2 linked regions of the Xenopus tropicalis genome follow. Each later gene encodes a partner of the first gene's protein in a complex. Links are inferred from orthologs where the notes say so. Each region holds a gene or a part of one and is shown on either strand. Other genes may lie near its edges. The genes, in order: rbm15b and wtap.

Region 1 (16,773 bases):
GTGCAAGAGCCAAATTTCCGGTTTAAAAACTCAACGCCTAAAGTTACCAGGAGTTGCTTTTTGCTGCCCCTGGCAACCTGCAGGGAGCTGCCAGCAGAGGTGAGTTTCTGAACTCATGGCAGCAGCGCCCCTGACCGTATCTCAGTGCTGTACAATGGCTGCTTTCACTCTGTTCACCTGTGCACTTAATTGCAGGGCACCAGTGCCAGATACAATACACCCTCAGGTACAGAGAGCTTAGTTTGGTTTTAGCCAGGTTTCTTTTTCTGATTTTCTCAAGCTCTCTTTCCTCTGGTATGGTACCTATGGACTGGAGGAAAGCTGATGCAATTCCTACATTTAAAAAGGGGTTAGGATTTAAATTTGATTGTGTGTTATGATGAGATTAGTAAGAAGTTGTACAGGGGGTGCAGTAGTTCTGATCTATTTGGATTTTGATACAGTGCCTCACAAATGACCGCTTTCTAAACTAAGGTCTGTTGGTTTTTAATAAAGATGTTTGTACGTGGTCAGGAAACTGTGCCCAATCCTGTAGCCAAAGGGTGGCCAAGTTGGTTACTCTAGAGAAAAGGTGCTTGTATGAATATATAAGGGGACCATATAATAATCTCTCTAATGCTTTATTTACCAGTAGGTCCTTTCAGCAGACATGAGGGCACCCATTCCAGTTTAAAAAAAAAATAAAAAATCTTCCATCTAGATATTCAGAAAGGATTTTTTTACTGTGAGAGCTGTGTAGTCGTGGCATTCTCTCCCTGAATCAGTCGTGCTGGCTGATACATTATATAGCTTCAAGAAGAGGTTGGTTTCCTTTTTCGTAAGTGAGGGAATACAGGGTTATTGAAAATATGCTATACATATGAACCAACTCGGGAAGAGACCTGCCTAAACTGTACAATCTGAAGGGCCAGGTTGGGAAACCCTTGCCTTAGTTGGATTCTTAATGGGAACATATTGTAAAAAACAAGTTTGGACAATTTAGCAAACACCTGTTCAGCTTTCATATCACAGTGCGATAGTGGAATGTAGATACCAGTGATTCCCATTAGGGAGATGGAGGTGGGAATAGCTGTACTGCACAATACTTTTATAAGCAGATGGCTAGCATCGGCTGTTCAGCACAGACATGTAGAATAACCCGAGGCCTTTCAGGTGTTCTAACAATAAAGCTGGCTTTAATAGACTGCAGATTTAAGATCTTTATTCTAGTATAACCTGCATGACACCAGGTGAGCATTTATTACTGACCTAGCCCTAGGGCATGGAGAGGCAAGAAAAGGCCACTCAGTATTTCCTTTATTACCAGGGCCAGAACTAGGGGTAGGCAGAAGAGGCAGCTGCCTAGGGCGCAACGATTGAGGGGTGCCAGGCAGCCTCTCCTGCCTACCCCTAGTGCTACTTTGTCATTGCCTCTGCCGCTTGTCATTAGTGGCGGAGGCAATGACCGATGTAATCGCCCCACCCCCACCCCCTGCACCTTCTCCTGTGCTTTGGTGCGCATGCGCCATTTGGGGGGCGGGGAGGTGGGCGGAGTTGGCCGACCGGGTTGCCTAGGGCGCCCGGTCGGCTTGGCCCGCCCCTGTTTATTACAGTTTGAATTAGTTGGGGTGCATAGGCTTTTAGGCTGTATCAATCTGGCTTTTAGGCTGTATAAATAAAGTAACTTTGCACTTTATAAAGCAGGTGTGAGAAATTGAGCAGTGCTAGTGGCATACAAACCTAACTTGGAATCATTAGCAAATGGTGTGCCCACCTAAGTATTTGCTGCCCATACACAGGTAGATTTAAGCTGACGATTCGGTCCCTTACACTGAAAAGTTGATACAGAACAGTTGGCAGCTTTTCTATATGGGCCCTCTCCCATTGCCTAATATCCAAAATCAGGCAGATAGCTATTGGACAGGTTACAAATTCCATTGGAACAAGGACTGGATCTTTGCTCAATATGCCCACCTTGTGCTTGGTGATATTGGGATGGTCCTAGGGCTAAACAATCAGATCACCCCGATATCGCTTAGCACAAGATCTCACCAAATGAGCAGATCTTCATGTGTATGGCCAGATTGAGACTGCTTATTCTGCTGGTAAGTCCTGGGAAACCACTCTACAGCTGCCAGTGGCACTGATGCCATTTATTCAGTGCAAGTAACTGGTATGCTATAGTGCTACTAATAGTATCTGCATGCTTTCCAGTTCTCTGCGTTTGCAGCTTTTTGACAATGAATATCAAGAATATAATTGCATGTCTCAGTCTTTTTCCTGTATCCACATAGAATCAATATCGGGACTTGGGCTTTTTTTTTTTTTTTAAAATATGTAAAATAAATGCTTATTCTTTTCTAATAAACTGGTGCTCAAAGGTAAATTTGGGGACAGTTCTTACTAGTTGACTGGGATAAGAAGTCTGCTCCATTGTGTCCAGCAGGTGGCACCATATATCACATCCTTTATAGAATTTTGGTCTAGCGCCTATATTGGAGAAACATTGGCATTACACAAATTTCAGACATAGATTGCCAAAAATTCACAATTTACAATTTCCATTAGGAAAATGCATCCTAATTGCCCTTCAATAAGCATCTTCTGCCCCTGTTTAGTCTATTACAGATAATCAAGATCACAGGAGACCTCTGTGCCTACTGCAGATATGGCCAACCTGCAGACCGATAAATTACAGTACAAGGAAAAAATCCTGTCCAATATTGAACAATAGTTATTAGCTAAACAGGCTTCCCACTCTTTCGGGAAACAACCAGTTGTATGTGCCAGTATGGCTTTATAAAGGGAAAGAATTGTTTTCCTTCACTATTCTCTGGGTTAATAAATGAGCACCATGGTCTTACTTTCATTATTGTGTGAATTGGGCAGGATTAGGGAACCATTTGTCCCTAGAAGTGGGTTGTGGGCAGGCTAAATATGCCACCACCTGACCGCTTCCCTACCCTTCTCTGCACAATTTCAAGCCACACTGCTGATAGGGTGGTGTTTGTTTATATCACCTTGACCTGCCGATGATGTCAACAGAGTGAGTAGGACACAGGTACATAAATGGGGGGAGCAGGTTTGTGTGGATTCACAAAGCATGGGTTAAGTTTATGTATGTCTTGACCTGCATATGTACAATTATATAAAATGATTATATCAAGCTAAAGCTCTGCTGTTCTGGCAAGCAAAATCAATAGGGACAAGTGTGGAGGTCTATTAGAATACTCCGCTCTTTGCCTCCTACACTTATAAGAGAGTGGTACTCTGCATCCATGACACTTTTGAGGCCACTACAGGTGATACAAGCTGTATAGGCCATCGGCTCAGTCCCTGCCTCAGGTTGGAACGTCTGGAAGCCCACTCCAGTAGACCGCACTAACTTTGCGATGGTGACTCAGTGTATAGAACTTTGTGGTTAAAATGTCCGCCAGAAATATCATGGCATTTTTGCAAATAAAGCTAAGTATTTTTATTCACAGTACTTAGGCTCTGCGCATTGTGCCATCCAGTTAGCCATCTTTAAACTCTGCGTCCTACACTTCTAATCCTTGCTTATAATTAGAAATTAGTTCATTTAGCACCATTCCATTTAAATAAATACTGTCGTGGGAAAATATTTTTTTTAAAAAACGCATGAGTTATTAGAGCATCTCCAGCAGAATCCTGCATTGAAATCCGTTTTTCAAAAGAGCAGATTTAAAAAAAAAAAAAATTTTTATATATAATTTTGGAACCTCATTCTTCATTTCTCAGGTGCACTCAGCCATGTGACCTGTGCTTTGATAAACTTCAGTCACACTTTACTGCTGCGCTGCAAGTTGCAGTGACAAACACCCCCCCCCTTCCCCAGCAGCCGATCAGCAGAAAAATGGGAAGGGAGCAAGATAGCAGCTCCCAGTAGGTATCAGAATAGCACTCAATAGTAAGAAATCCAAGTCCGGCTTGGGACTCCTCCAGTTACATGGGAGTAGGAGAAACAGAAACAATAGGTTACCTGAAAGCAGTTCTAATGTGTAGCGCTTCTGAAAGCTCTGACTCAGGCACAATGCACTGAGATGGCGCCTACACACCAATATTACAGCTAAAAAATACATTAAAGGTAGAATCAATTATTTGCTATGTTGTTAGACTGATCCTGTATCCTGCCCCGGCCTGTGTTGGCTTATATCAAATGTTTATATATATATTTGGGCCATAATAGAGCAAATCCACTCTTGCTTGTACAGAGTAACAGTTCTGCATGTTCTTTCTGTTCCTCTGTACCTGCTACGTTCTTACCAAACCTATCCTGATGGCCACCAACTCGCTACAACTACTAAACTGGCCCATGGAGTCATTTGAGGGAGCGTGATCTGGGCCACAGTAAAGCCTTGCAAGGCCTGATAACCTGCACAAACAGCAATAAACACAGCAGATTAATTATAGGCAAATTATGAAAACTCTTGAGACTCTGCCTTCTTGAACACCAAGCAGTAACTGAAAGTGGTAAACAGTCTGGGTTGTACTGGCCCTGTGCGAACCTTTCATTTCTCCGAATGTTCCATTCCCTGACCCCCCTGAGAAGCACAGGCTTGCATCACTAATGTGCATGTAAACTGAGGACGTACGGGGGAGAATATAAAGCTGTATATAGTGAATGCATACGTCACCTCATGGAGTTCCATGACCATATAAAAGCACAGGGCTGAGAGCTGCCTACTTTTATACAGGTCATGGAACTCCACGTTGACTTCTAACATCCTTGTATTTTTCAACAGGGGGTACCTTATTTATTATAATACACGTTTCATTAAGCTATGTGACAGAAATTACATAACTAAGCATTGATTATAACTGATGCCATCACTAAGCTCCATTTATAAGGATATCATTTACAGGATATTCATGGCTCTTGTGTATTATATATGAATATATATCAGTTGGCCCTTTTTTAATCTCCCCAGTATATTGATATATAATACAAGTATTTCAGTGCAAAGTCTTCTGTTGGTATGCTCCTCAAACAAAAATTCCACCCTTCTCCCCCTTATTGAGGAAAATGGGTACTTCAGGGTATATATGGCAGGTTCTATTTAATGTTCAGCAACCAAATGTGGTGTCTGATACAGTTCCACCTACAGTGTTCACTTATTCTGTGTATGACCTTGGCCTGTTTAATCATTAACCTGTTTTCTGTAATCCTTCCCTTGGATCATTTTTCTTGCAGTCTACCCTTTCCTGTTATTATCCTATTATTACATATTAAACCACCATTATATAATATGCCCTGTTGTTTAGATGCCCTATGCCTAGACCATCAAAGACCCTGTTTAGTTATTCCCACTTTCTCTATGGAACCTCAGTGATGTTACAGCACTCTTGGGAATAAAATGGGGTTCACTGGGGGTACTTCTGCTTTAACTCCAGATGTTCTAAAACATAGGTAAGGCATCTTGAGAGTCAGGAGAAGAAATTAAGGCCAGAGGAGGCACGTGCCTCCCTTCTATAATTCGGCAGTGGCTGAATGAGTGGTGGCATTTATTGTGCAGGAGGTGATGCAAATTTTGGGAGGAGAGAAGGTTGGAAGAGAACATGAGGAGCAGTGGGAGGCCCTTGGTGCCCCCTTTCTTTGGTTTGACTCTGGCCAGCATTCAAAGCAAGATAAAATCATACTAGTTCCAGTTCCTAGTCACCATTTAGATGCATGCATGCAGCCACTATGATGCTATTCATACCTACTCCTCCATTGGCACCTGTGCTGCAAAGCCCCTGTTGTTGCGGTGACAGCATCTGCCCAACCTTATATACCAGTGCCCCAGTGCTATGATGGTCATTCTCAGACCTGTTTTCTAATCTTTGTTATTATAGTTTAATTTTCCAAAGTGCCATATATTATAGTTTTACTTCCTGGCAAGGTTGACTTGGGATTTACCTCACTGGTAGAAAGAGAAACTGTGCACTTTGCTCATGCTTTTAGGAGGGTCTTTGATGGTCTCCCATAAGCCTTCATGAGAATAGTTTTGTGCTTAAGCTTTTCCTCGAGAGCTCATTGTCATTTGGGGTTGTTCCACTCTAGTTTCTTCTGATCACAAGACTCTTTAATTTCTGATTCGTCCTCCTTGTTTGGTGACCTACCATAAATGGACATTTCCCTTTTTATTACTGTCTTTAAAGCCAGACTCTGCCCAGTAATCCAGAACTTTACTGTATGGTCTGCAGCAGGTTTGTGCTAATTTGGAACAATATGGGCTTATAGACCAATGTTGCCTCTATGTAAAGGTAAAATAACTCTTCTGTTTGTAGTAGACAGTTTTTCCCTTGAAGAAACTCTTCTTCTTCTCCAAACTGGCTAAGGTCCTCATCAAAATATCTAGGGCAGCCACATGACTTGTTCAGAGGGTTCAGATTTGGTTTGGCCAAACAATTGGCAGTTGACAGTTCTGTCTATCCACTGCTACTGTAAAATCTGCCTTGTTCTACAACCATTATCCGCCTGCTGACCTATCCCTCGCCTACACAATCCAGTTCACTGCTCAGAACCTGCTCTGTTGGTCTTCTATGCAATCCAGCCACTTTTGGGAGGCTCCCCTTTCAATAAGCCTTCATTTTTACTTTTTTATAGTTTTTGAATTGCCTTCTTCTTCTGAATATTTACAGCTTTCAAATGGAGGTCACTGGCCCCATCTATAAAACAAATGCTCCGTAAATCCACAAATGTATTATTATTGCTACTTTTTATTATCAATCTTTCTATTCAGGCCCTTTGCCTATTTGTTTTCGTCTCTCATTCAAATCAATGCATGGTTGCTAGGGAAATTTGGGCCCTGGCAACCAGATTGCTCAAATTGCAAACTGGAAAGCTGCTAAATGAGAAGCTAAATGATTTAAAAACCACAAATAATAAAAAATGAAGGCCAATTGCAAATTGTCTCAGAATATCACTCTCTACACCATACTAAAAGTTATTTCAAAGTAAACTATCCCTTTAGGCTGATGCCACACGTGGCGTAGGGCTGACTTTTTTGGCAAGAGGAAAAACGCTTGCCGAAAATTCAGCCCTACACCTGCTACTTGTGCCTGCACCCGAATGAATGGAATACGCTCGGGTGCAGGCACATGTAGCCGATATACGCATGAAAACGCGAGAGAATGCAAAGTCTCACGTTTTCATTGGCTACATGTGCCTGCCCCCGAGCGTATTCCATTCATTCGGGTGCAGGCACAAGTAGCAGGCGTAGGGCTGAATTTTCGGCAAGCGGAAAAAATCAGCCCTACGCCACGTGTGGCATCAGCCTTAACGTGTGATGAATTATAACAAGGGCTTTTAGGAAGAATCCCTGCAGCCCAGAGACAAAACTTCAAAGTGAAAAGATGCACAACTACCCTACCATTCCTTATTGGTTATTATCTCTTCATGCTCCCACTACAAGCAGGTATGTACCCCTCCTGCCTACACAAAGCCATGTTGTACCTGCCCAGCACCCAACCTCCCATGTTACACCTACAGCCCCAGCATGATGGGGAATGATCACACAGCAGGGTGTTTCTTATTGGATAAAGTTTTATTGTTTATGTATTTGTTTATACCTTTCAATATTCTTCTTTCATTTTGACTTCCAAACGCCCCTGGTTGCAAGGCCAAGTAACCCATAGCAACCAGATTGTCTTAGCACTTCCTGTCAACAACGTAATAATTCTTAATTTTAAGTTTCCTCACCGTTTACTCAGCTAGCAGGTTACAGAGCCATTATTACACATTATAGTATCACCCTATTTACCCCTGACTATCCCAGTCAAGACGTTGGAGAGACTCTTCTGACGGCGGCCATGGCCTTTCTGCCCCCACTTGCCCCCCACTTGCCCTTGCTGCAGGGAACCTTTGTGATGCATTTAGAAGTGACAGTCTCTGTTAGTCAGAAGTGACAGGCGCTTTGGGGGCCCGCCGGCGGCCCATGTGACCCTCCGCGCCACACCCTTGCTTGCGTCACCGCTCCCGGCGCCCCCTGATGACATCACTCTCCCTCCCCACTCATTGTGGAAGATGGCGGCTGCACAGTAAGCGCGCCTCCCCCGCGTGTGGTGACGGAGCGGCGAGCAGCCAGCAGCGGGACGTGAGCATGAAGCGACAGAGCGAACGCGGGGAGCAGAGCCCCGGCCGCGCCAAGAGAGCCAGAGAGAGGCGGGAGGAGGCCGGAGGGGCTCACCATAAAAGTTCGGGAAGGCGGGAGAGGCCTAACCAGGCCGGGGCCTCCTCCTCTTCGTCTTCTTCCTCCTCCCGCCGGCCCAGAGATCCGCCGCCCCGGCCCCTTCTACTGACCGCTCCGGCCGAGGCCCCGGGCCTGGAGTACAAGACGCTGCTGATCAGTAACCTGGGCTCGGCGCTGCCCGACCCGCTGCTGGAGGATTGGCTCTTCCGGCACTTCCAGCGCTTCGGAGACATCAGTGTGAAGCTGTCACACACCCCGGAGCTCGGCCGGGTCGCCTACATCAACTTCCGCAGGCCGGCAGAGGCTCGCCAGGCCCGACACGCCAAGGTACGGCCGGTGCTGTACGATCGGCAGCTGCGTGTGGAGCCGGTATTCACTCAGCAACCGACCCGCCGGCCTGAGCCTTCCCCCCTCTCCCTCACCTCTCTGCCCAGCTACCCCCGATCCACTTCCCCCAGGCACCTGCTCCTGCCCTCCTCTCTCACCTCTACAGCGGCCTCTGGGGATGGCTACTACCCACTCTATGAGGAGAGAGTCCGGGGGGCCACCTACGGTATGAGCAGCACCAGTACGGCCGACGATGAGCAGCTGGCCCCAGAGGATGACCACCGAGCCACCCGCAATCTCTTCATTGGCAACTTAGACCACATGGTGTCGGAGGTGGATTTACGGAGGGCATTCGATAAATACGGCCCCATAGAGGAAGTGGTGATCAAGCGCCCGGGGAGGGGCCAAGGAGCGGCGTACGCCTTCCTCAGGTTCCAAAACCTGGACATGGCCCATCGGGCAAAGCTTGCAATGAGCGGGCGCTTGTTGGGGCGCAATGCAATGAAAATTGGCTATGGGAAACCCAACCCGAGCACACGACTATGGGTGGGGGGGCTGGGCCCCAACACCTCTCTCGCAGCGCTAGCTCGGGAGTTTGACCGCTTTGGGAGTATCCGTACAGTGGATTATGTCAAAGGAGACAGTTTTGCATACATCCAGTATGAAAGCTTAGATGCCGCCCAGGCGGCTTGTACGCAGATGAGGGGCTTTGCACTGGGAGACCGTAGGCTTCGGGTAGACTTTGCCACTGTGTCGCCGGACGAGGCTGCTGCAGCTGCATCTCGCTATGCTCCTCTTCAGACAACTCCATACCCTCTGCCTCTGCCCTATGAGTTGTTGCAACCTGAAGCTTATAGCAGGCATCGTACTGCTCTGGACCCAGATCTCAGAGTGAGAGATAGGACCCCTCCGCATCTTCTATACTCCGATCGCGAGAGACCGTTTGTGGAAGCCGGCTGGGTAAATTCTGAGCGGCGCAGCTCAGGCCAAGGTGCACGGAGCAGAAGTGGGGACCGTGGGGGTGGAGGTGGTGGGGGCAGCAGTTCAAAAACACGGGAGGAAAGAAGGCGACGACGCAGCTTGTCTAGCGACAGAGTTCGGAGTAGAGCCGAGAGGAGCCCAGATCGTCAAAGGAGGGAGCCTCCGGAAAGAGACCCTAGTACTCCTCCATCCCCGCAACACAATCACAGACCTTCATCCCAGGACAAGCCCCGGCCCCCAACCCCTGACCCGCCCCAGCCCCGCAGGAATCACCATCCTAGGCCTCCTGAGCCACCTGCTGAGCGGCAATCCCCTGGAGTGGAGAAGGGACGGACGCTGCCACCTGTGTGGTGTGGGCATTTGGTACTTAAAAACAGCTGTTTTCCAACCTACCTTCATTTCTTAGAGGGTGACCGTGATGTGCCAGGTGCCCTACTCAAGGACCGTTCTTCTACAAGTGGAGGCAGCCTGGCACAACTTAAGATTGCCCAGCGACTCCGGCTTGACCAGCCTAAGCTTGAGGAGGTCACCCGTAAAGTGAGACAGGGCACTGCCGGAGGCTATGCTGTACTTCTTGCCACACAAGCCCCACAAAATGAGGGGGCAATACCTGGGGAACCTGGCTTACAGCGCCGCCTTCTCAGGAACCTGGTCTCCTACCTAAAACAGAAACAGGCGGCTGGAGTTATCAGCCTACCAGTGGGAGGGAGCAACAAGGGCAGGGACCCCAGCGGCATGTTGTATGCATTCCCTCCATGTGACTTCCACCAGCTGTACCAGCAAAGTGCTCAGCGCCTTGTGGGCAAGCTAGAAGAGAACATGATTATTGTGTTGGTGAAAGACAGCGCCTAATCCAGAAGTCACTGTGCCCAATGGTGCCCTGTTAGACTGTCCTGTGCCTACACTGTCCTCTCTCTGTTATGGATTTCTGAATTGATGGGGGCGGGCAACCAAAAATATGGGGGAGTTCAAGTTAGGACTGAACTGAGTGGAATAAATCATGTATCACTTTAGTTGTGTAAAAGGTTCTGCAACCTAATTTACAAAGTGTTTTCTAACCCTGTTAGCTGTCGGTGTTCCAATGCACGGCAATGGCTATTGTCACAGGTATATAAGGCAGTCAGAAGTGAGGAATCATGGGAAGGTACCACCACCCCGCTCACTGTAGTCTCTCCTCCACTTAGGGCCCCCTTTTCTAGTCAAATTCCAACAGTAAACTTGCTGCTGGACAGATCCATTTTCCTTTTGTGTGCGCGTGTGTGTTATTTTTACATCCTGCCCCTTAGTGTATTCTGCTCCCTAGCTCCGTAATCGAGCACCTTAGAAAAGCTTTGTGTTTTTGGCTAGTTCATAGAGTTTGTCACATTGGGGATACTAGTTCTGTTTTTAGGGTTTGTGTGCCTGTGTCCTGGAGACCTCAGTAGTCAGAGGATCCCAAGAGTGCCTTATGTACATGTGACACTAGTGCAGCGTGTTCTGTCACTGAGCGTCCCTCTGGTGGCTGTGTATGTGTGAGTGAGAGATGTGGGGGTTGCAGGGCTGTTAGCAGAACCCATGAGCCTGATTAGTGGGATAAAACTACCTGTTTATAATCAGAAGCAGCCTCCTAGGATCAAACCCTGCTCATTATTTCTGCTTAATGAAGCTCGTTATGTGTGTGTGTGCGCGCCGAAGGGGGACTTAGGTTATTACCACTACCTGACTGACTAGTAGCTGGCAGTTTGTGTTAAGGCTGAGTATCTGTGTGCACTGCATCTTCATTATTAGTCCAGGAACTTAGCAGGGGTTAACTTTATCACTGCCCGGAGCCAACACAACACTGTTCTTATGTTTGTTTACATGTGTGCAAGCGTATGTGTGTGCATTTTACATATATTTAATGAACACGTAAAGGTGTACCCATTCTCCAATATCACAATCTGTATGTAATAGCACATCTGGCGGTTCTGTGTATGTATCTTGCACGCACATACTCCGTAGGTATGTATATATTGCTGAACCATATACATGTGACCAAACAAGACTTCTCTCACCCTCTTATAGGTGTGGAATGACAGCACTCAAGTTAAAAATCAAAGCATATTCTGCTATCTATGGGGTTATAAATACCAATGTATGTAGAACCATTTTTTAAAAATCCAGAAAGGCGATATATATATATATATATATATATATATATATATATATCTATACATTCAAATTTCTGTTCTAGAAATACATGCATCAACAGGCAGGATGAACTAAGCGCAGCTTGGAGATATAACCGTGGGCGCCCAAGGGTTTTGCCATAGACATTACCACATGTTTGGGGTGTAGCTTGGGGATATAGGAGCCGTACTATGCAAAGATAAAATAAACAGTAGAGGGAGGAAACACTAATCTTCCATCCATGTTCTTATATCCAGCCCGTGCCATGTGGGGGTTTTACCAGCTGCAGTTTGGGGCTTTTTGATGCATGTATTCTAAATTATTATCTCTCTAAAATGTTGCCTTTAATATATTTTTTTTGCTTTGTGTACATTGTTGGCAAAGCTGATGGCACAATACAGTTTCTATGGTTTGTACATTACAAGAGGAGCATTGCTTTATACGTTATGTTTTGATATTTAATTTGAGTGTTCCCCCCATCCCCCCCCAACATTGTGTTGCTAAGATACTCATAACAGCTATCCTTAAGCTGGCCTTACACTAATAGCTCCACTTGTTTGGTACCCTAGCCAAACTAGTGGATCTTTGCCCAGTTTGTTCACCTATCTTCTGGGCCAAACTGGGCTGATCGGATCACTTGGCCAACAGTAGAATCCTAATAACGGCTTATGCACACTTCTCAGGCCTAGCACGACTATTTTGAAATCTGCCCAGTAGATATGTGGCTGAGTTTCAGGCAGAGATCTATCGGGCAGTCAGTCCATAGCTCCCTTACCCCCCTACATTTACACCAGACTCATTTTATTTGTTCCCTGTTTAACTCAAGCTGGTTTTTTGGTTGGGAGCCAAGTCTTTCTTGGCTTGTCCTTGTTTTATCCCGAAAGGTTCTGTGCTGCTGGATGGGTAGCTGATAAGGTCCTGAAGATGCCTTTGTACCCAGAACCCAAGCTCCTAGTATGTAATTACATTTGTTTAAATCTTTAACATGTATGTTTTGGTGAATTTCCAACCCCTTCTCTCCAGTTAGAGGCTTTGGCCTTTATTCTCCCCCCTTCAACCAACAGAAAAAATATGCATTTGCTTTTAGTGGCTTTTTATGTTTCTAGGGAGCCAGAGTGTCCAGAGGCCAATATGTTCCGAATGTAGAGAGAGAAATTTAATAAATAACACTGAATTTTCAAGACCACGTGTAAAAGGCTGAAAGTGTTTCAGATGCAACAAAAAGCTCAGCACAAGCCCCAGTACTTTATATATAATTACTCACACCCACACCAGCCTGCTGGCCATTCTGCGCATTCAGTTATTGCCGCTGACCTCTAACCAACTCCCCTTTTTGCCCATTTGGCTCTTAAGCATCAAGCACCTATGGTGCCAGCCTTATGTGCCAACTGTGCCAATCATCAGCGGGGCATCAGATGCGCAAGGAAGGGGGAGTTTTAGGTGCGTCAGTGTCAGTAACTCTCCAGGGTTTCTTTATATGGCCAGCATGTGGCTAAAATACACAGACACAAAAAACACTTTTTCATTCAGTAGACCAGGTTGCTGGTCCTGGCCTCATGTTTTAAGGTAATGGTAAAAAATAGGGTATTACTCTGTTACATAATGTGTCACAAACTGCATTTCTGGTGTCTGAGGAGAGAATATCCTCAAGGGGCACCTATTCTGTCTGTTCTTGTACAGCAGAAAAAGAGGCTGTTGCTGGCCTCCTAGTGCAGTGCTGTTGCTGCACACCTTACTCTCACATCCATTATTTTGCCAAGTGCAGTGCATCAGTACAGAGAAAATAAAACACATTTCTTTTACATCGTTTATGTATAAAAAGAATTGCACCACCGAAATGGCTGCACAGCTCCAGGCTTTAAACTAAAATGTCAGCCTTTTGGGTTCCTGGGTTTGAGGCAAATCTATGTGGTGTGTATTTGATGCGGGTTTGCAGACAGCCGTAAGGGAAGGTAACATGTTCTGTACATTGTTATGGCTGTAAAGTGAGCTTTAAAGGGTAACTGTCATTTGTCACTTTTTTTAACCACATATGGTACCCAAGGTTTATCCTAGACTGTAGGCACTGTGCCAGGTACCCAAGGTTTATCCTAGACTGTAGGCACTGTGCCAAGTACCCAAGATTATAACCAAGACTAAAAAAAATAAATATATAAACGCACAGCCTTACTGCTCACATGGCACGATGCATCAATCCCCAATGGCTCACCGCCTGGCCTTTTGGAATATCGCAGAAAAAGAGGAGAGCACCTTCATGCAGGTTAACTGCTTCAGCCTTTATTGAATAAAGGCTGAAGCAGTTAACCTGCGTGAAGGTGCTCTCTTCTTTTTCTGCGGTATAGCCTAGACTGTAGGCACTGTGCCACTTAGTGAAGGTTTATCCTAGACTGTAGGCACTGTGCCACTTATTGAAGGTTTATCCTAGACTGTAGGCACTGAACCAGGTACCCAGTACCAGGTTCCCCAGGTTTAACCTAGACTGTAGGCACTGTGCCAGGTTCCCCAGGTTTAACCTAGACTGTAGGCACTGTGCCAGGTTCCCCAGGTTTAACCTAGACTGTAGGCACTGTGCCAGGTTCCCCAGGTTTAACCTAGACTGTAGGCACTGTGCCAGGTTCCCCAGGTTTAACCTAGACTGTAGGCACTGTGCCAGGTTCCCCAGGTTTAACCTAGACTGTAGGCACTGTGCCACTTAGTGAAGATTTAACCTAGACTGTAGGCACTGTACCAGGTACCAAAGGTTTAATTTAGACTGTAGGCACTGTGCCAGGTACCCAAGGTTTAACCTAAACCGTAGGCACTGTACCCCGGTACCCAAGGTTTAACCTAGACTGTAGGCACTGTGCCAGGTACCCAAGGTTTAACCTAGACTGTATGCACTGTGCCACTTAGTGAAGGTTTATCCTAGACTGTAGGCACTGTGCCAGGTACCCAAGGTTTAACCTAAACTGTAGGCACTGTGCCAGGCACCCCAGGTCCAACCTACACTGTAGGCACTGTGCCAGGCACCCAAGGTTTAACCTGCACTGTAGGCACTGTGCCAGGTACCCCAGGTTTAACTTTGACTGTAGGCACTGTGCCAGGTACCCCAGGTTTAACCTAGACTGTAGGCACTGTGCCAGGTACCCCAGGTTTAACCTAGACTGTAGGCACTGTGCCAGGTTCCCCATGTTCAACCTACACTGTGCCAGGCACCCAAGGTCCAAATGAGCGTAACTGTCATTTGTCACTTTTTTGAACCACATATGGTACCCAAGGTCCAACCTGTGCCATTCTTCGCAAGGTATAACCTAGACTGTAGGCACTGTGCCAGGTAAGCCAGGTCCAACCTACACTACAGGCACTGTGCCACTTATTCAAGGATTATGCTAGACTGTAGGCACTGTGCCAGGTACCCCACGTCCAACCTACACTGTAGGCACTCTGTCAGGCACCCAAGGTTTAACCTGCACTGTAGTCACTGTGCCAGGTACCCCAGGTCCAACCTACACTGTAGTCACTGTGCCACTTAGTGAAGGTTTAACCTAGACTGTAGGCACTGTGCCAGGTACCCCACGTCCAACCTACACTGTAGGCACTCTGTCAGGCACCCAAGGTTTAACCTGCACTGTAGGCACTGTGCCAGGTACCCAAGGTTTAACTTTGACTGTAGGCACTGTGCCAGGTACCCCAGGTTTAACCTAGACTGTAGGCACTGTGCCAGGTACCCCAGGTTTAACCTAGACTGTAGGCACTGTGCCAGGTACCCCATGTTCAACCTACACTGTGCCAGGCACCCAAGGTCCAAATGAGCGTAACTGTCATTTGTCACTTTTTTGAACCACATATGGTACCCAAGGTCCAACCTGTGCCATTTTTCTCAAGGTATAACCTAGACTGTAGGCACTGTGCCAGGTAAGCCAGGTCCAACCTACACTACAGGCACTGTGCCACTTATTCAAGGATTATGCTAGACTGTAGGCACTGTGCCCAAGGTCCAACCTACACTGTAGTCACTGTGCCAGGTACCCCAGGTCCAACCTACACTGTAGTCACTGTGCCACTTAGTGAAGGTTTAACCTAGACTGTAGGCACTGTGCCAGGTACCCCACGTCCAACCTACACTGCAGGCACTATGCCACTTATTCAAGGATTATGCTAGACTGTAGGCACTGTGCCAGGTACCCCACGTCCAACCTACACTGTAGGCACTCTGCCAGGCACCCAAGGTTTAACCTGCACTTAAGGCACTGTGCCAGGTACCCAAGGTTTAACCTAGACGGTAGGCACTGTGCCACTTATTCAAAGATTATGCTAGACTGTAGGCACTGTGCAACGTACCCAAGGTCCAACCTACACTGTAGTCACTGTGCCAGGTACCCCAGGTCCAACCTGCAATGTAGGCACTGTGCAACGTACCCAAGGTCCAACCTACACTGTAGTCACTGTGCCAGGTACCCCAGGTCCAACCTACATTGTAGTCACTGTACCAGGTACCCCATGTCCAACCTACACTGCAGGCACTGTGCCACTTATTCAAGGATTATGCTAGACTGTAGGCACTATGCCAGGCACCCAAGGTTTAACCTGCACTTTAGGCACTGTGCCAGGTACCCAAGGTTTAACCTAGACTGTAGGCACTGTGCCAGGTACCCAAGGTTTAACCTAGACTGTAGGCACTGTGCCAGGTACCGCAGGTCCAACCTGCAATGTAGGCACTCTGCCAGGCATCCCAGGTCCAACCTACACTGTGCCAGGCACTCCAGGTCCAACCTGCAATGTAGGCACTCTGCCAGGCACCCCAGGTCCAACCTACACTGTGCCAGGCACCCCAGGTCCAACCTGCAATGTAGGCACTGTGCCAGGTACCCCAGGTCCAACCTGCAATGTAGGCTCTGTGCCAGGCACCCCAGGTCCAACCTGCAATGTAGGCACTGTGCCATGTACCCCAGGTCCAACCTGCAATGTAGGCACTGTGCCAGGCACCCAAGGTTTAACCTAGACTGTAGGCACTGTGCCAGGCACCCCAGGTCCAACCTACACTGTGCCAGGTACCGAAGGTATAACGAAAATATTTCATGTTTCTTAGTTATATGTATGCATTAAATGACAGTTTGATTTCTTGCTTTATGTTATGAACAAGTGACAGAACATTTTGATGTCTGAG
Region 2 (16,584 bases), on another chromosome or scaffold:
TGCACAAGAAACAAGAACACTAGATTTCTATCAAGTTAAAAGGGCAATGTTGAAAAAAATATCTCAGTAAAACTAAAAAAGATTTGTGGTGTGCAGCTTTCTAAACAGATGAATAGTAACCCTAAATGCATATTTTGTAAGTTGAAGGGCAGCAACTTTGATCAACCTTGGGTCCAGGGCCCACTGGGGCATCACGTTGCCTTCCATACACTTGCAGAAAGCCCCCCCTATGCATGCACGTTGTGCCACGTTACTTTTATTTGTGGCTGAGTGGTACGCACAAGTTCCAGGAAGGGAGCGGACCTGGGTCAGCGGGGCCCACCGGGTTTTTTCCAGGTGTCCTGCCGGCCCAGTCTAACCCTGGCCAGAGATCAGCCATATATCAACCAGGCAGGTATGAAAATCTGATCACATGAGAATAGTTTGTTTTGTTAAGTCCTCTCCTGGTAGGTCTACTCTGGCAACACTGTGGTTCAAACATTGGTTTGGCTGGCCAGATCTGAAAAAGATCTGCTTACTTGGCACTTTAAGGGGCAGATTTACTAAAACTGGAATTTCCTGGCCTTGAAACTCGTAAAAACTGGACTTGGTATTTTTTTTAATAAAACACAATCATTCTTGCATTTATTAAATGCCACAATACTGTAGGGTAGGGTCAAACACAAATATTGAGTTTATTGTCCGAAAAGCACAATTTTTTCAAGCAGAAAAACTCAAAAAATTTGTGAAATTCAAATGGCTGTTCATTTCCATGAATCCTCTTTATTTTTCCCAAACAGGAATTGCTCCAGCTGCCATTTTAGGAGCACTGGTGCTCAATTCTTGGAAAACAATGTGTTTAGGTCCACTGTGTGCAAGAGAAAACAATGGTGGGATTAAGTTCCCCTTGAAACTGGGTGAAATAGTAAATGATGGAATAACTTTCCCTTGAAACTGGGTGAAATAGTAAACAATGATGGAATTAACTTCCCCTTAAAAAATGTGTGAAATTAAAAACAATGTTTTTAACTTCCCCTTTAAAATGCGTGAAATTAAAAACAATGTTTTTAACTTCCCCTTTAAAATGCGTCAAGGAGAGGCTGATTATTATTTCTCTACTATTCTGAGCCTCCATAGGACTCAATGGTTCTCACAAGCTTAAACCTTTTTGTTAGTCAAAAAAATCACGTACAGTTTTATAAATCTGTTTGTGGTTTTTATTAAAATATTAAGAATTATCTTGAATTTTTAGAGAAAAGAAAAACAAAACAATCATATACTGCCAAAAAACATTAAAAAAAAAATGAACCTTTCTCAGGAAACCTTAGGGGCTGATTTACTAAGACACGATTTCGAATCCGAATTGGAAAAATTCCGATTGGAAACGAACATTTTGCGACTTTTTCGTATTTTTTCGGCGTCTTTACGATTTTTGCGTAAAAACGCGAGTTTTTCGTAGCCATTACGAAAGTTGCGCAAAGTCGCGATTTTTTCGTAGCGTTAACACTTGCGCGCAAAGTCGTGCCTTTTTTGTAGCGTTAAAACTTAAAAGGCGCGACGTTTCACGCAAGTTTTAACGCTACGAAAAGATCGCGACTTTGCACAACTTTTGTAATGGCTACGAAAAACTCGCGTTTTTACGCAAAAATCGTAAAGACGCCGAAAAAAATCGCAAAATTACCGATCATTACGAAAAAAACGCAATCGGACGCATTCGGCCCGTTCGTGGGTTAGTAAATGTGCCCCTTAGTGTATGTATTATAATACTTTTCTTTGGCAGCCTAAAACTCTGAAAATCCAGAAACCATTAAAGATAGAAAGTGAATGTGAAGAGCAAAACTGCTTAGAAAAGCACATTATTTTACTGAAATAAATATCGCCAAGTGTTTTTATGACACAAAGATGACCAGTCAGCAATACCTTTGTAAGTACTGCAACTGAAACCCAATGGATCACAATGGATCAGGGCAATGGTCTGCAAATTCAAGAACTACTGAATTAAGCATAGTACGACCATTTGAACACAATGGAGTCCATTTACTAAAGTTTGGTAAATTGAATTCATTGCCAAATGAGCAAAAATATTTTTGCGGCCAAAGTAACACAGCCAGAAATTTAGGTAAACTCCAGTTACTGCTAGGATATTTGTAGTAAAAAGAAATGAATACATATGAATCATCAAAAAACTATATTAATCATTACCCACTTAGCATCATACTGTTAAATGAATTATGACTAATTATTAGCTGCTAGTTTGTTAGAATCCAACACTGGGACAGACTGATAAGTTATCTGCAGGGTAAAACAGTCCAACACTTCACCACAGGTACAAAAACAAAATAGCCCAGCGCTCCAATAAAATGCTATGTTTCTGCAATTGCAGTAACTTTGTTGGTGTTGGCTCCTTATTTGATAGAAGTTACCCAAATATCATACGGTACATATATTAGCTACTGCATAAACCACACTCAACTTGCTGTTCTATAGAACCTGCCTGCTACAAATAAGATGCTGCATCATGTGAGCAAACAGCACAGCCCATGCTGTGAATACCACACGGTGTGCAGCTCCTCTCCCTGTCCCACAAAGTCCTTAGGCTGCTGCTCCTTTATGGGAACCGTTCGCTCACCTGCCACAAACACTGAGCCTGCACAGCATGTCTGCGGTCAAGTGCAAGTTCGACAACGAAAAGGAGTCTGCTGGTTGCCCCCTGTCAGCTCCGTCAGTATAACTCTCTGCCCTTGTACCTTCTGCCCCGCCCCCTGCCGCCGATCTACTTCCGGGCTATATTATTCCCCTCCCACCCCTGCTGCTGTCACTCTCCGCTCGTTTCGGGGCAAGGCAGGTGGCGAGCTGTATTGTGTAACACTTGGCTGTTCTTTTTGTTGGAATGAGGCTATAGTAAGCAGAGGAGAATAGCGCTAGTCGATATGACTGGCACAGGGAGGACTAAACAGGGACGAGAGTAATAAGGAGAATACTACTAAAAAGTATATATTTTTTAATTTTAGTGAAGCAGGGGTTTTGCATATGAGCTTGTTTATGCAATATATTTTTAAGAGACCTACATTGTTTTGGGGTATAGTTTTCCTTTAATGTGAGATGGAATGGCTACTGTTGTAGGTAAGCCCCTGATATATGATTACCCCATGAGAAAGTGTCTGCCGGGTTTAGTTGTGCTTCATATACTTTAATTGATAAAGATGAATAACTGTGCACAACAATATTTAGAAATAAACAGATTCACCATGTAAATTATGTTGTAAGTAAGGTTGTTCGAAGGTTGTGTGTTCCTCATTGCTCCACATGCAGCCCTGAGCCTCTTCTGAAAGTTTCATTTTAAAATGGACACAAACCTCTCAGACTGTTGTACTTTCCCCATTGTAATACTTTTCAACTGGGGAGTGCAAAAATATTAAGCACCCCCCCCCCCCCCAACGAAATAGATCGCTAACTTTTTTTTTACCAGGCTGGTGCTGTTAGGACAGAAGCACACCTGCTGGTGTAAAAAACTGAGTGCCATGCAGTTTTTTTTTTTTTTTACCTTTCTACTGGTGTCCCAGACATTCCCTGTGCAAATTCCTTTCCTCCATGAGCAGTAGAATATACCTGTTAAGATTTACTCTACTGTACATGGGCAGAATGCAAGCACCTAGCAAAAAGATAGTAAGGTAATGAGATACAGGAGCTGCGCTCGTTTTTTTTCCCCAAAGGCTAGTTTAGTTCTCTCCTAACAGGACCACCAGCCTGGGAAAAAAACTTAGTGATCTATTTCACTGGGGGGTGCTTTGACCATGCCCTGTTATACCCAGTTAAATCCCCAATCTGTCCAATTAGGATGTGTTCGAAACTCCATGTATACATTTGGGAGACTACAGGAAAATGTGGGGAAGCTGACATCTCTGTGTAAATCACGTGTTCAGAGGGGATCTGAACACTTTAGTTTTCTTAAAATACATAGTGACAGAAAGCATTGTTTTGGTGTATTAAGAGGAAAAGAAAAAGATAACTTTTGAATAAACTTTAATCAGATGCATTTATTGATATTAAAGTTATTTGTAATTGCTATTCAAAGCAGTATCTATTTGTCTGTTTGTCTATGAAGATTCTCATTCATCCAGGTCATGATATACAGTATCTAGTAAGCGTCTTCCCCAAGCGTCCTCCAGCTCCCCCAACTCTCCCCCCCAGCATTCCCTAACTCTCCCACCAGCATCCCCCAACTCTTCCCCAAGCGTCCTCCAGCTCCCCCAACTCTCCCCCCCAGCATCCAACAGCTCCCTCAACTCTTTCCCAAGTGTCCTCCAGCTCCCCCAACTCTCCCCCCAGCATCTCTCAACTCTCCCCCCAGCATCCCTCAACTCTCCCCCCAGCATGCCCCAACTCTCCCCCCAGAATCCAACAGCTCCCTCAACTCTTCCCCAAGCATCCTCCAGCTCCCCCAACTCTCCCCCCCCCCAGCATCCTCCAGCTCTGTCAACTTTCCCCCAGGCCTCCCCCAGCTCCCCCAACTCTACCCCCAGCGCCCACCTGCTTCATCCAGGAAAGCCCTGGAGCTATAAGCGCAGGGGCTGCATGACAAGGGATCCAAATAACCAGCAGCCAGATTACACTGGTTTATGTTTAGAGATTGGAGAACTAGGTTCAACTGTGATTAGGTGAGAAGGAAAGAATTAAGGCAGGAGAAAGCCGGCCTGGGGGGCGGAGAAAATGAGAGGGATGTGATGTCAGAAAAAGAGGGCACTCACGTCCGTATCTTCTGAGGAGGAAGAAACATCCCACCCACCCTCCCTCTTTTTGCATATTTTGCAAAATGTCAGGAATTTCTCTTCTTTTTGATTTCATAATATCTATTAATAACTGAATCTGGATGTTTTCCTGAATGCATTGTTATATTGTGCTTTCTCTATCTTTATACGGTATAAGGATATAGGATATCCTATCATCAAGACACTGCAGATCCAGGACCAGCAGCAGGGCTGCTGAACTTCACTCATGGTTGGTAATGCAGCTCCTGCTGGTATCAGAGTTTCCTCTCTGTAGGTAGAGGCAGTCTAATACTCATTCAAGTCTTCAGCGAGGAACGGCAGAGCATAGTATCGACCTCTTATGAAATTATGGCTTAAGAATATTGCCTTGGGTTAGGCTTGCAAGGTCCTATTTATTTGATAAAATGTGAATAAATGCTGTGGCCATTTTCTCCACCTCTGTCTCCTGTTGTTTCATTAAGGTATGTAACAAGGGGGTTCAGTAGGGTGCCTCAAGGCAAAGGGTCAATTGAGGAGTCCCCTTGTCATGCTCTTTCTCAGCGTCCCCCTGCTCCTCCTCCAGCTGGCCGCTGCTTGCATCCTCTGGCTCACTGTGTCCTCACTTTTAAAGGTTGCGCCCTGTGCATACTGATGTCACATATACGCACAGGGCGCGACCAATCAAATTACCCGCTGACCACCAATGAAAAGGCTCGTCATTTTTAAAGGGAACCCGGGCTAAAAAAAAAAAGAGGTGTATCACGGCGGGGCCCCCATTGGCGCGGGCCCGATTGCAGCAATAGGTCCAATCGGCCTAGGGCCGGCCCTGTATTCTACAGAGCGTATCGCCTATGTTACCTGTGCCATTTAGGGCAGTGACACACAGGGAGATTAGTCGCGCTGCAACACAATTTTATTTTGCTCAGTCTATGTATTTTGCCTAGTTTTGTTTTTACACTGAACTGCTCCTTTAAAGCACTTCATTTTTGGTGTTACTGGTCCTTTAAAGCTTTACATCATAACTACTGCAAAATGCTCCAGTGTTTACAAAAATAGTGTTTTTTTCAAGGTTACATACATACAGGTATCGGACCCCTTATCCGGAAACCCGAATTACGGAGAGGCCATCTCCTTGTACTTGATCCTAACTAAGATATAATTAATCCTTATTGGAACAAAACCATCCTAAGGTAGGAGATCCAAATTACAGAAAGACCCCTTATCTGGAAAGCCCCAGGACCCGAGCGTTCTGGATAATGGGTCCTATACTAAATATCAGTAAAAGTTCTAAATGCAACTTGCCTTTAAGTTTGTGTGTGCAACTGCTATTGCATGGCATGGGGCAGCCAACTTGTCTACAAACTGTCCCTTGTCCCTAAAACATGAAATCATGCCAAATATATGAAGTGAAAATTGGCAATGTTTTTACAATTATAGAGTTTTGAATAAACAATTTTGTATACATAAGGCACTTTAAAATATATATGTGTGTGTGTTGATATACTATATACACACTCACAAATATATATTACACATAAAGCACGTTTTCCTAATAAAATTTCGTGCTCCAGTTCAGTCAAGAGAATGCGTATCTCTCTCATGGCAGGGGGTGTGACTGAGAAATGACTCCCGCCTCATTTCCTCCGCTGCCGCCATTTTGTGTCGGAGACATCTAGAGGAGGAAGAGACGAGAGAAAAGCAACATTCGGAGACCTGATAAGACTGACCGAAACTACGAATTTGCCTGTAGCGATTTAAAGTCGCACAAGCCATATTAATTGTTGCCGGTGTCAATAGGAACTCTTTCTCTGAGCACCGCGGAATTGCGAGTACCAGGACAGGAGCCGCCCGGGCTGCGCAGCTCACTCACCGCATAAGGTGGGAGGCAGAAGCGGAGAGGACACGGTGGGTTTGAGTTGTGAGGTATTAAGCAGAAACCATGTGCTAGTTTGTACGTTTTGGGACTATTGGTGACTCAATCTCTTCTGTGTATGTGTGTGTGTGTGGTGGGCACCAGGATTGTCTGTATCTGTTCCTTCCAAAAAAAAAAAAAAAAATGGCGGAACTCGGAAGGCTGCGGCCTTCTCGTGACTGACCTTAGAATCGGGGCTGTAGTTAAAGGAGAGGGCATTGCAGGAAATCTGCAGCTCCCATCCGAGGAGGGATGTACGTGACTTAGGGATGTCCAACTGCAGTCCCCGCTGGGATTAGTCGGAGTGGTGGGAGCTGCTGTCGCAAACGAACATAAGCTGAAGGACTTCCCTGATGTAAATTGAAAATAACACGTTAACCTTTGTCACTATGCTTTTCCAAAGGCTCTGATAGTGGAGAGGGGCAGTGAAATTCACCCAATTACCGTGTTTCCAGTTATATGCAAAGTATATGAGCAGTCACTTGTCTGCCAGTGAGCAGGAAAGCGCTGTACAGTTACATGGAAGTGAAACTACTGGATGTGGCAATGCTTACAGTTTCACATGCTGCTTTTTTGGAAGGAATATAATTGGGGAAAATAAATGAGAGACCTCAGCTTATTTAAAAGTGCACATATTTGCAGAAGCCATGTTTGTTAGACATTTTGAGACCCCCCCCCCCCAATTTTCCCACCATTTTGTTTATAAATACTCTGCTTTACAAGCAGAATAACCTTTGTTCATGTAAATACAACATTTTAAAGATTTGGTTACTAAAGTAAGTGAAGCAAGGTGACTTAAAAATCCTAGTTCACATGGGAGTTTGTTTTGCCTGTTTGTGCTTTATTCCATGCTGTGATTGCATGGAGTACTAACTACCCTGAGAGCAGATGCTGCCCCTATGGAGGTGACTTGCAGGTATATGCAGCAATATGTGAAAATATGTTGCACATATAAGCATTTTTACCTGTGTCCCATTGTAAGTTTAGTGATTGTTTCCAAGAGAGTACAGTAAAATGTAGCCTTGCTAGCACTGTTTGTGTTTATTGGCTGGAATCTTTATCCAGTACTTCTGAGGTTTTCACTTGCCACATAGACTTCACTTCTAGGTAATCTTGATTCTAAGATGATCTAAATATTTAAATTATTTTCAAATAAAGAATTAAAACAAGAAGATTAAAAAAGAAATGTCAATGCCATTAAACAATAGAATTGCAGTGATACTACAATAAATCAAATCTTCATGCAGTTAGCATATGATTCACATGGAGCATCATACATGGCATCTTCATTAGATTCAAAGATGAGATGGTTAATCTTTATGGAAGATAAAGGGTAGTAGTACCAAAATACCTTTCTGTTGCTGGTAGTTTGTTATATGCTGTCAACCAGCTGATGCCATGTCCCTTAGAGAATTGTTTTTTGACAAACATTGTAATTGTGGAACGTAGTTATACTCACTGGAGAACCAGGAAAGCCCTGGGGTATCAACGTGAGAAGTCCAAGTGTCCAATAAAGCTCTGAAATGCATTGCATATTACAGGTATTTTATGTTAATGTTGCATGTGTAACACAACATTTTTTGGTGTATAGATGCTTATAGTAAGCCCACACATTTTGTCAATATAAATTGGAAGCAGTTTGAATCCATCTGGTGTTATTGTTGCTGTGGTTTGACTAAGGGAAACATACTTTGTACAGTTCTCTTAGCTGATTCATAATGCATGTTTTGGAGGTAGACAAGGTATCGGACACTATCAGCCCACCAGTTTTTTGGTTTTTTTTTTTTAGGTTTTGACACTTTCATTTTGGAATATAATAAACCTGAGTGTGTTTCTTGTTAATTCCTAGTTATTGCCCTGCAATCTTGTTAACCCTCCTGGTGCATTATTAGTCATTCTCAGATCTATGTTGCCATATTAGATTTCATTTTTATTCTGCGAAAGTAGAGTTAAAAGCAAAATGTTTAACATGATCTTGTTGGTGACATTGTTTTTTTAGTTATAGAGGAGTGAGTAAAAGTTTTGAGAAAGCTGTCATGCAGTCCTGCAAAGCAAATTAGGTTAGCCCTCTCCTGCCTTTTATGTGGAAAGTGCCACAATTGCCTCTTTCTTAGTGCTCTTTTTATACAGAAAGGGCATGTTATATCTTTGATGATATTTCCTGATGCTGGCAAGCAACAAAAACTGCTCATGAAAACATTGTAAATATCAATATAGTTCTGTAGGGAAAGGGATACAGAGTACATACACTTAAAGGCTTATTTTGGCATGCAGGGAATCAAGCTAGAATGCAGTTTAATATGAAATCATTGTGCATCACATTCGCACACTGGCTGCCTCAAAAAATGGTTAAATTCTTAGTGGCCAGGTCCTCCCATAGTTTATGGTTTTTCACTGTAGTCTACTTGAAAATGCACAGTTTGTGCATTTTATGCATCAGTTAGCTACTTGGTAAATAAATATGTAACCGGATACAGTGTACACTCAGTTATCATCTTAAGCCACACTTCTTTCAGTCAGTAGTTCAAGAGATACAGGCTCCTGAAACCATTGGCAGATCCAGGTGTTTTCTCATGAACTGACAGCCATACCAATCAAGTAATTCTAATTGATTAGAATGATTTTACTTTTCTCTCTAATCAAATAGTCCAGTGTACTCAATCGCAACTTAACTTCATGAATCCATATTGGTGGCAAAACAATCCTGTTGGGTTTATGTAATGTTTCATTTTTTTAGCAAACTTAAAGTAGAAGGAAAGGCTAATTCACTTGGGGGTGCCAACATGTTAGGCACCCCCAAGTGACTTTAACCGCTTACCTTTTACCCCGGACTGGTGCCCCTGTTAGGAGAAAACCTCACCAGCCTGGGGTTGCTGCGAGTATAGTGAAAAGCCGAACTTTAACAACGCTACAGGTACACCGGGCTGGTGCAGTTTTCTCCTAACAGGGGCACCAGCATGGGGTAAAAGGTAAGCGATTAAAGTCACTTGGGGGTGCCTAATATATTGGCCTTTCCTTCTCTTTTAAGGTATGGTGTTCCAAATTACAGAAAGATCCCTTATCTGGAAAAACACAGGTCACAAGCATTCCATATAATGGATCCTGTACCTTTGCCGTCTGTACATTAAGGAAGTAAGCAAAGTTAAAACATGCTAGCTTCAAGGTCCTTCTCTACCCTTGAAACAACAGACATCCTTAGTAAGCCACCTCATAAATTTAGCGTAACCTTCTTTTTACGAAGACACATTCGCATTATGCCAGAAAGTTTAGCAAGTTGCCAGAGTACAGTTCTTGTGTAAAAAAATGCTTTGAAACTTCTAATAGAGATCAGTGATATTCAGCTAAGTACAAGCCCATGTGGATATTCACAGTAAAACTTATTGTATCAGACGAGTGAAATTTTTCATTATGGTTTCAGAATCCTATTATTGCCTAACCTAAGCCACACAGACCTATAACCACTGGAATAGAGGAACAAAAAATTGGTACTATTATCTTGGTATTTGAAATCATGTGACTTGTAATACTCATTTGTTACAGAGGCACCATGTGCCAAACCGTTCTGTTGACTGATATTTATTGCTTTGTTGTTTATGACTATTGTCCTAAAGTAGATCATGGTGTTAAGGAGGCCATTTGTTGGCTAGGCCTCCATAGAATCCAATCAGTTAACTAGATAGGGGCTATAACAGGGAATACAAAAGATTAATGGAAGTTTTTAGCCATTATCTCACTATCTGTATTTATTATTATTTATTTGGGATGACTGCCAGAACTATCAAAACTACAGCAAATGAAGATGAGTTGTAGCGCCACTTCATTTGCTCGTCTGCCAAGTACACCTACTGACATGGTACTTTAGGTAAAGTTTTAAAACCAGTCCCTGACCTGGCATGCAGGCATAATCTAGCATGATATCTGGCAGTATGGTTGATCAGCTAAACTGCCTGACAGAATCTGGGCATGTAATGTAAACCCTCTCCCACCAGTATACGCAGGAGTATCTCTTGTCAGTTTTTGCAGACCACCTCTGCCCAATGCCCTTCTGAAGATTTCATTCATTTCATTCTAATCTGTCAAACAAATTTTCAACTGAATTTATAAAACAAACTTTTTTTAATTGTGTTGCCTGTTTTTCTGGTGATTTGCCTTTATAATTATACAATCAGAGGTTTATATTGAGGTACAGGTTTATGCATGCATAGTATTTGTTTTACTGTTGTAGAGCTGGGTTTTTTTTTAATTGATGGTGCAGCTGGTGGACAAAATAGTGCAACTCCAAGGACCAATCCATTGAGAAAAACAAGGTTCTCTACTGATAAAAAAGTATAATGCCTTCACCCTAATCTGTCCTTTCTCTCTCTTATACTTTCACCCTAAGATGTCCCTGCTGAAGCGAGCAACAATAATAAGAGCATTAGTGAACAAGCACACAGCTATAAAAGCAATCTGTACCAAGCCCATACTACACTTAAGATGTAAAATTTGTCATTCTGCATACAGTTGATATGTTGAATATCTTTTGTCTCTTTTCTTTCTGAAAAATCAATAAAATTAAAATTACAAAAAAACAAAAAATGTGATACTTATGTGCAAGTAAGATAGTGTGCATAAACCAATTAATATAAAATGTTTGGGTAATACTGAATTCATTGTTAATTTCCCAGTACTATAATAACATTTTTGCAAACACCAGCTGATATTTTATTATCGGTAAAATATTTAGATGTATGTGATGTGGCCATACATGACCATATACGGTGTTAATATTGTTTGTGCAGATCTGAACAGCAGGAAGTGTCCTAAATTCATTATTCTACCATTCATTTTGTCCCCTCACTTGAGATGAAAAAAGCTTGGTGTTTTCAAACAAATATCTGATCATTGAATATCTATATATATATTTTTGTTATTCAGGTCACCATGACCAACGAAGAACCTCTCCCAAAAAAGGTAATATTTTTTTTTTTGCTTTTTTTTTTTTTTTTTTTTCCCATGTCTTTTAATTCCACCGATATTGCTTAAAACCTTAAACTAAAATAAATTTATATAATTTTTTTAGGTTCGTCTCAACGAGTCAGACTTTAAGGTCTTACCCAGAGAAGAGCTATTGCAAAGGTAAATTAAAAGACTGGGCAGAATGCATTTCAACACTGATTCTGTTTATTGTGCTCGTTTTTAGAAAAGGTACCAGTCCAACTCACCACAGCCCTTTAGTAGTGATGATTTGTTCCCCCAAAGATGTCCACTGTAGCTTCCAATATTCTGTACAAATGTTTTGCTATTATGAAGTCTTGACATTAGAGGTGCAGTAAACTCCTATGTACACCTTTGCTAAAATAATGCCAATAGTTACAAATTGTATAAATTTATATTTTCCTTTTTTTGCCATTGGAAATGTGATTTCTTGGCGCACACACAGGTGGGGTAGGGCAGGCAGAGTATGTCACACACAGGCAGCATAGGGCAGGCAGGGTAGGGCATGTAGATTATGGAACACAGGGGCAGCATAGGGCAGGCAGAGTATGGCACTCATGGGCAGTGTGTGCCATACTCTGCCTGCCCTATGCTGCCTGTGGGAGTTGAACCTAGCAGAGGTTTGTTCTGGGAGTCTGTTAGCAGTTGGAAATAGCCAATAAATGGTCCCTAAGGTGTGTAATAATGTGCTGGGTGTTGCTGCGCTATCCACAGGGGAGAAGGAGGCATATAGATTTAAGGGTGTGTCTTAACATGACATAATTTACTTCTTTCACGTATGAATGATGGTTGATATCCCTGCAGTGAGCACCAAGCATTTGGGTTTTTGCTGCACTACCACCATTAATGTGGGCATGGTCTTGTGATAACATGGGTGTGGTTTGAAGTGGGTGAGGTTTAAAAATAGGAGTGGTCAGAACTGGCTTCCATTAGCGGCCCTCCACTATGTATGCTAGAGAAATTCCGGCCCTCTGCACCACATAAGTTGGACAGCACTGAGTTAGGCCATTGGTTTAAACAAATATAAGGTATGTATAAACAAACCCTTAGCCTTTGTTAGGCTTTGCGATAACAAGCAGCTAACTATACAGGGGGCTTATCTGTGAAGTAGTTATTTGTTTTACTAGTTTCTCCCCTGCAAACTGTGACTCAGCAGTGCCAAAGTGAAATGGGGTTATGGCTTAGGGCCATGGTGGACGGGGAGATTAGTCGCCGTGCGACAAATCTCCCCGAAATGCCATCCCACCGGCTAGAATGTAAATCGCCAGTGGGATGACGTTTCAGGGAGATTAGTTGCCCGCGACAAGGGAGATTTGTTGCGGGCTATTAATCTCCCCGTCTGTCACCACCTTTAATCATTTTATTCATAAATATGGTTAGAGATCTTGTCCTAAATATCTTTGCTAATTCACAAAGGTTGGTGCAGAGAGTAGTTCATGCACTTTTGAATGTGTAGTTAGTTGTTAAACCTTGCCACTTTAACTTCCCAGATAATTTATTCAGTATTTTAATTAGATTTTGTTTTTTTCCCACAACTAGGTGGAAGCAGTTTGAAGCATATGTGCAAGCTCTGGAAAATAAATACACAGATCTTAACTGTAAGTGGGAAATCATACTTCTTATGCATTAAAAAAAAATGAAGGTTCACATTTGCAGATGTAGCTACGTGAAGTAATACTTATGCTGCTTTTGTGCCATGTATGTTTCATGCAGAGAAATACATAGACTGATTACAGTTGTGGAGCCTTGTTTGAAAAGTAGGTTTTGTTTAGGGATACACTGAATTCATATTTTTTGAGTATTGAATACTTTTGTGTATGAAAACAATTTCTGCCTATGACTGACTTGTAATCTAAGGTTGTGATGTTAACTGGTTGGATTAGGACACCTTTCTAAAAGGTTTAAATTCAGTCAAATACAAGATCAGGTGTATCCCTAATTTTGTTAAAGGATAGTAAGCCATTTATTTTAAAAATCACATAAAATGACTTTAAACAGACCCCAAAATAACACCCCTTAATCCCTGCTTGCAGATTTATTTACTTTCCCTATTACCAGCAGCTGACCTGCACCTTTTACAGACTTCCTTGTCTAGCTTGAAGCTCTGCCCCCTTTTGCTTTTATTGAGCACTTCTCTTTACGACAATGAAGCTCAAAGAAGTGCCTACTGGGCAGGCTCACTGCCTCTGCACCAATTAAAATCAATCAGGCATACGCATTCAGCACCTTTTTGAGATTATCGTAGTCTGAGAGAGGAGGAGTGCTCAGAAAGTGGGTGAGCTTCAGACAAGGAAGTCTGTAAAAGACTAGTTGAACTGGCTGTAATAAAAAAGGCAAATCTGGATACATAGAAAAAGGTATGTTATTCCGAGGGCTGAATAGAGTAATTTTTACAGATTTAGAAGAAAAAAAAAAGTAATTCAGTTGTCAAATATAGTAATGCCTCATTCTATTACATAAATTGCATGAGGAGAAATCTTATTGTTATAGTATTTTATAGGTGTCTCTATTAAAAGCATCTATTCAAGTGGCTCAAATTATCTATTTTGTATGTTTTCTTCAATTGGCCTTTCTGGTTATCAGGGTTGAAGGAATAACCGTGTTATTGTTAATCTAATTTTTTATTGACACTGCCCTAGAAGTCTATACTTTGTTCAACCTCAGTTTAATAAACTAAACTTTTTGTTGAAATATTTCATGTTTTTTAAATTAAACAAAACTAAAATATATAGCTCTTTTACTTTCCTGCTTTTTGGTGTTTAGGAGCAACTGTCAGGTGGGAAATAAGTTTATCAACAATACCAGTCCACTGATATGTCTTCTGTTTAATGAGCTTCTCCTTACCAAATGCCTGACACAGATGGCAGCTGGGGGAATAGAGGGGTTTGTTTAAGAAGAGCTTTAAAGAAGATTTTTAAAGGAGAAGGAAAGTCATTTTGGCATTTTACTGCCAATATATTAGCCACATTAGTGCCACCTAGAACAATATATTTATTCTGCAGGAAGCTTTACCATACCTGAGTAAAGAGCCCTAGAAGCTCCCTCCGTTTGTTTAAGATAGCAGCTGCCATTTTAGCTTGGTCTTCATAGCTTCCTGCTGCAGTTGTAGCCTAAAGGAGAAATAGGTTTTTTTTTTTTTTTTTGCTTTAAAGGGTTAGTGGTCAGTGATTCCTGATAAAAGCTGGAAAGATGCAGATATGTAAGGCAAAAAAATAAAATAAAAAGACCAATTGTATGCGATTGCCTTGTCATAGGAAAAACATGGACTTTTATTCTAATTAAAAAGGTAGAAAACTGTTTAAACACAAGTGCTATTCATTATTTAGAACAAAGTGTATGTAGGTGTATAAAAGACCAACTGTAACGTATATTGATTTCAAAGACCTAAAATGTAATCTTGAAGTGAACAGTCCCTTTTACATTACACTTAAAGGTAAGCCTATTCCATTAAAATATTTTTAATGATTTCAGCTAATGATGTCACTGGACTGAGGGAGTCAGAGGAGAAGCTAAAGCAGCAACAGCAAGATTCTGCCCGAAGAGAAAATATATTGGTGATGAGACTGGCCACGAAGGAACAGGAGATGCAGGAATGCACGGTTAGTGTTGGCCCAGTTTTTTTTTTTTTTTTTTTTACTTTCAGTATAGCAATAAAGTAGACCACTTGGTTCACAGCATCAATGATGCATATTTCTAGCGTAAGTTTTTGTCATCAGTTTTCTTATTTCTGCAGTTAACATCTTGTGGGGATGAAAAACTTCTTAAAAAAAAAAAGTAGTATGTCAAAAATACTCAACTGGGCACTTTTGGGGTTTAGATTTATTTTTTCACATACGCTGACAGTGTCTACAGCAATTTAAGCATCCTCCCGAGTCATTAAATAATTTGGCTTTTTGTTATGCACCTGCAATAATTTTGCAGTGCACATCAATAAATGTTATAAAATTCACGGCATCAAAATGTAAAGTAAAAATTTCTTGTTTATTTAATCATCGCATCAACGCGTTTTGATCCTCATAGGATCGTTGTCAGGATGGGGAAGGGAAGTGAGGTGCAACCATAAATACAAAATTTATTTTGTATTTATGGTTGCACCTCACTTCCCTTCAATATCTCAAACCATTCATACTGATTATTCCTGACAATCTGCACATATATATATATATATATATATATATATATATATATATACACACAATTTTAAAATTATGTTCTTGATAGTGAAAATATTTTTCTTGTCAAGATTTGTATTGTAGGTTGACATTTTGTTTGATTAATCCTAGCCTAATGATGCCTTTACTGTCTCGTATGCTTTTCACATGTTATAGATAGGTGTATTGGGATTATGTCATGTGTGGAAGTTTAGGTGTACTGTTTCTAGTAATTTTACAAAATATTTATTTCATAGTGATTCTCATTTGCCTCTATAGAGCCAAAAAGGAGAGTCAAATGTGTTGTTAATCTCTGTATTATGTGAATATCACACATAGTAAGGAGCTGGAAGTATGTTGAGTTCCTTGCTACATCTAAAAATGCAAATAGGAAGAAGATATTCATTGATAAGTAGGAAGCATACAATTTAAACACAAGGCTTATGTAGTGGTTGGTATGTATTTTCTGTAACTCCCAGCAATTTGATTTTTAGTGCTATTTAGAGTACATTGCCTTTTGTGGTATTGCTGACATGTTTGTAACTGTCAACATTTGAAACCTCTGCAGACTCAGATACAGCATCTCAAGCAAGTACAGCAGCCAAGCGTTGCCCAGCTGAGAGCAACTATGGTCGACCCAGCCATCAACTTGTTTTTCATCAAAATGAAAGCGGAACTGGAACAGACAAAAGACAAACTGGAACAAGCCCAAAATGAACTGAGTGCCTGGAAATTTACGCCTGATAGGTAAACAAAACAAATACTCCCCAGTCAAGACTTCCCTGACAGTCCCACTACGAGAATGCTATGGTGGGAT

What was found.
Region 2: rbm15b (region 1) and wtap share a complex: the UniProt entries of both Homo sapiens proteins name them as parts of the WMM complex. The link is inferred for Xenopus tropicalis from reciprocal best matches to the Homo sapiens genes RBM15B and WTAP.

What each region holds. Positions count from the first base shown.
Region 1 is NC_030680.2:127,338,346-127,355,118, reverse strand, and holds rbm15b (putative RNA-binding protein 15B), read left to right. Parts: upstream 1-7,524; 5' UTR 7,525-7,970; coding exon 7,971-10,331; 3' UTR 10,332-13,427; downstream 13,428-16,773. UniProt on the Homo sapiens protein: RNA-binding protein that acts as a key regulator of N6-methyladenosine (m6A) methylation of RNAs, thereby regulating different processes, such as alternative splicing of mRNAs and X chromosome inactivation mediated by Xist RNA.
Region 2 is NC_030681.2:44,100,208-44,116,791, reverse strand, and holds the start of wtap (pre-mRNA-splicing regulator WTAP), read left to right. Parts: upstream 1-6,325; 5' UTR 6,326-6,632; exon of another isoform or gene 6,633-6,650; intron 6,651-6,850; exon of another isoform or gene 6,851-6,994; intron 6,995-11,556; 5' UTR 11,557-11,562; coding exon 11,563-11,592; intron 11,593-11,701; coding exon 11,702-11,757; intron 11,758-13,155; coding exon 13,156-13,214; intron 13,215-15,087; coding exon 15,088-15,215; intron 15,216-16,335; coding exon 16,336-16,514; intron 16,515-16,584. Other genes in the region: sod2 (superoxide dismutase [Mn], mitochondrial), read right to left, coding at 2,609-2,637. UniProt on the Homo sapiens protein: Associated component of the WMM complex, a complex that mediates N6-methyladenosine (m6A) methylation of RNAs, a modification that plays a role in the efficiency of mRNA splicing and RNA processing.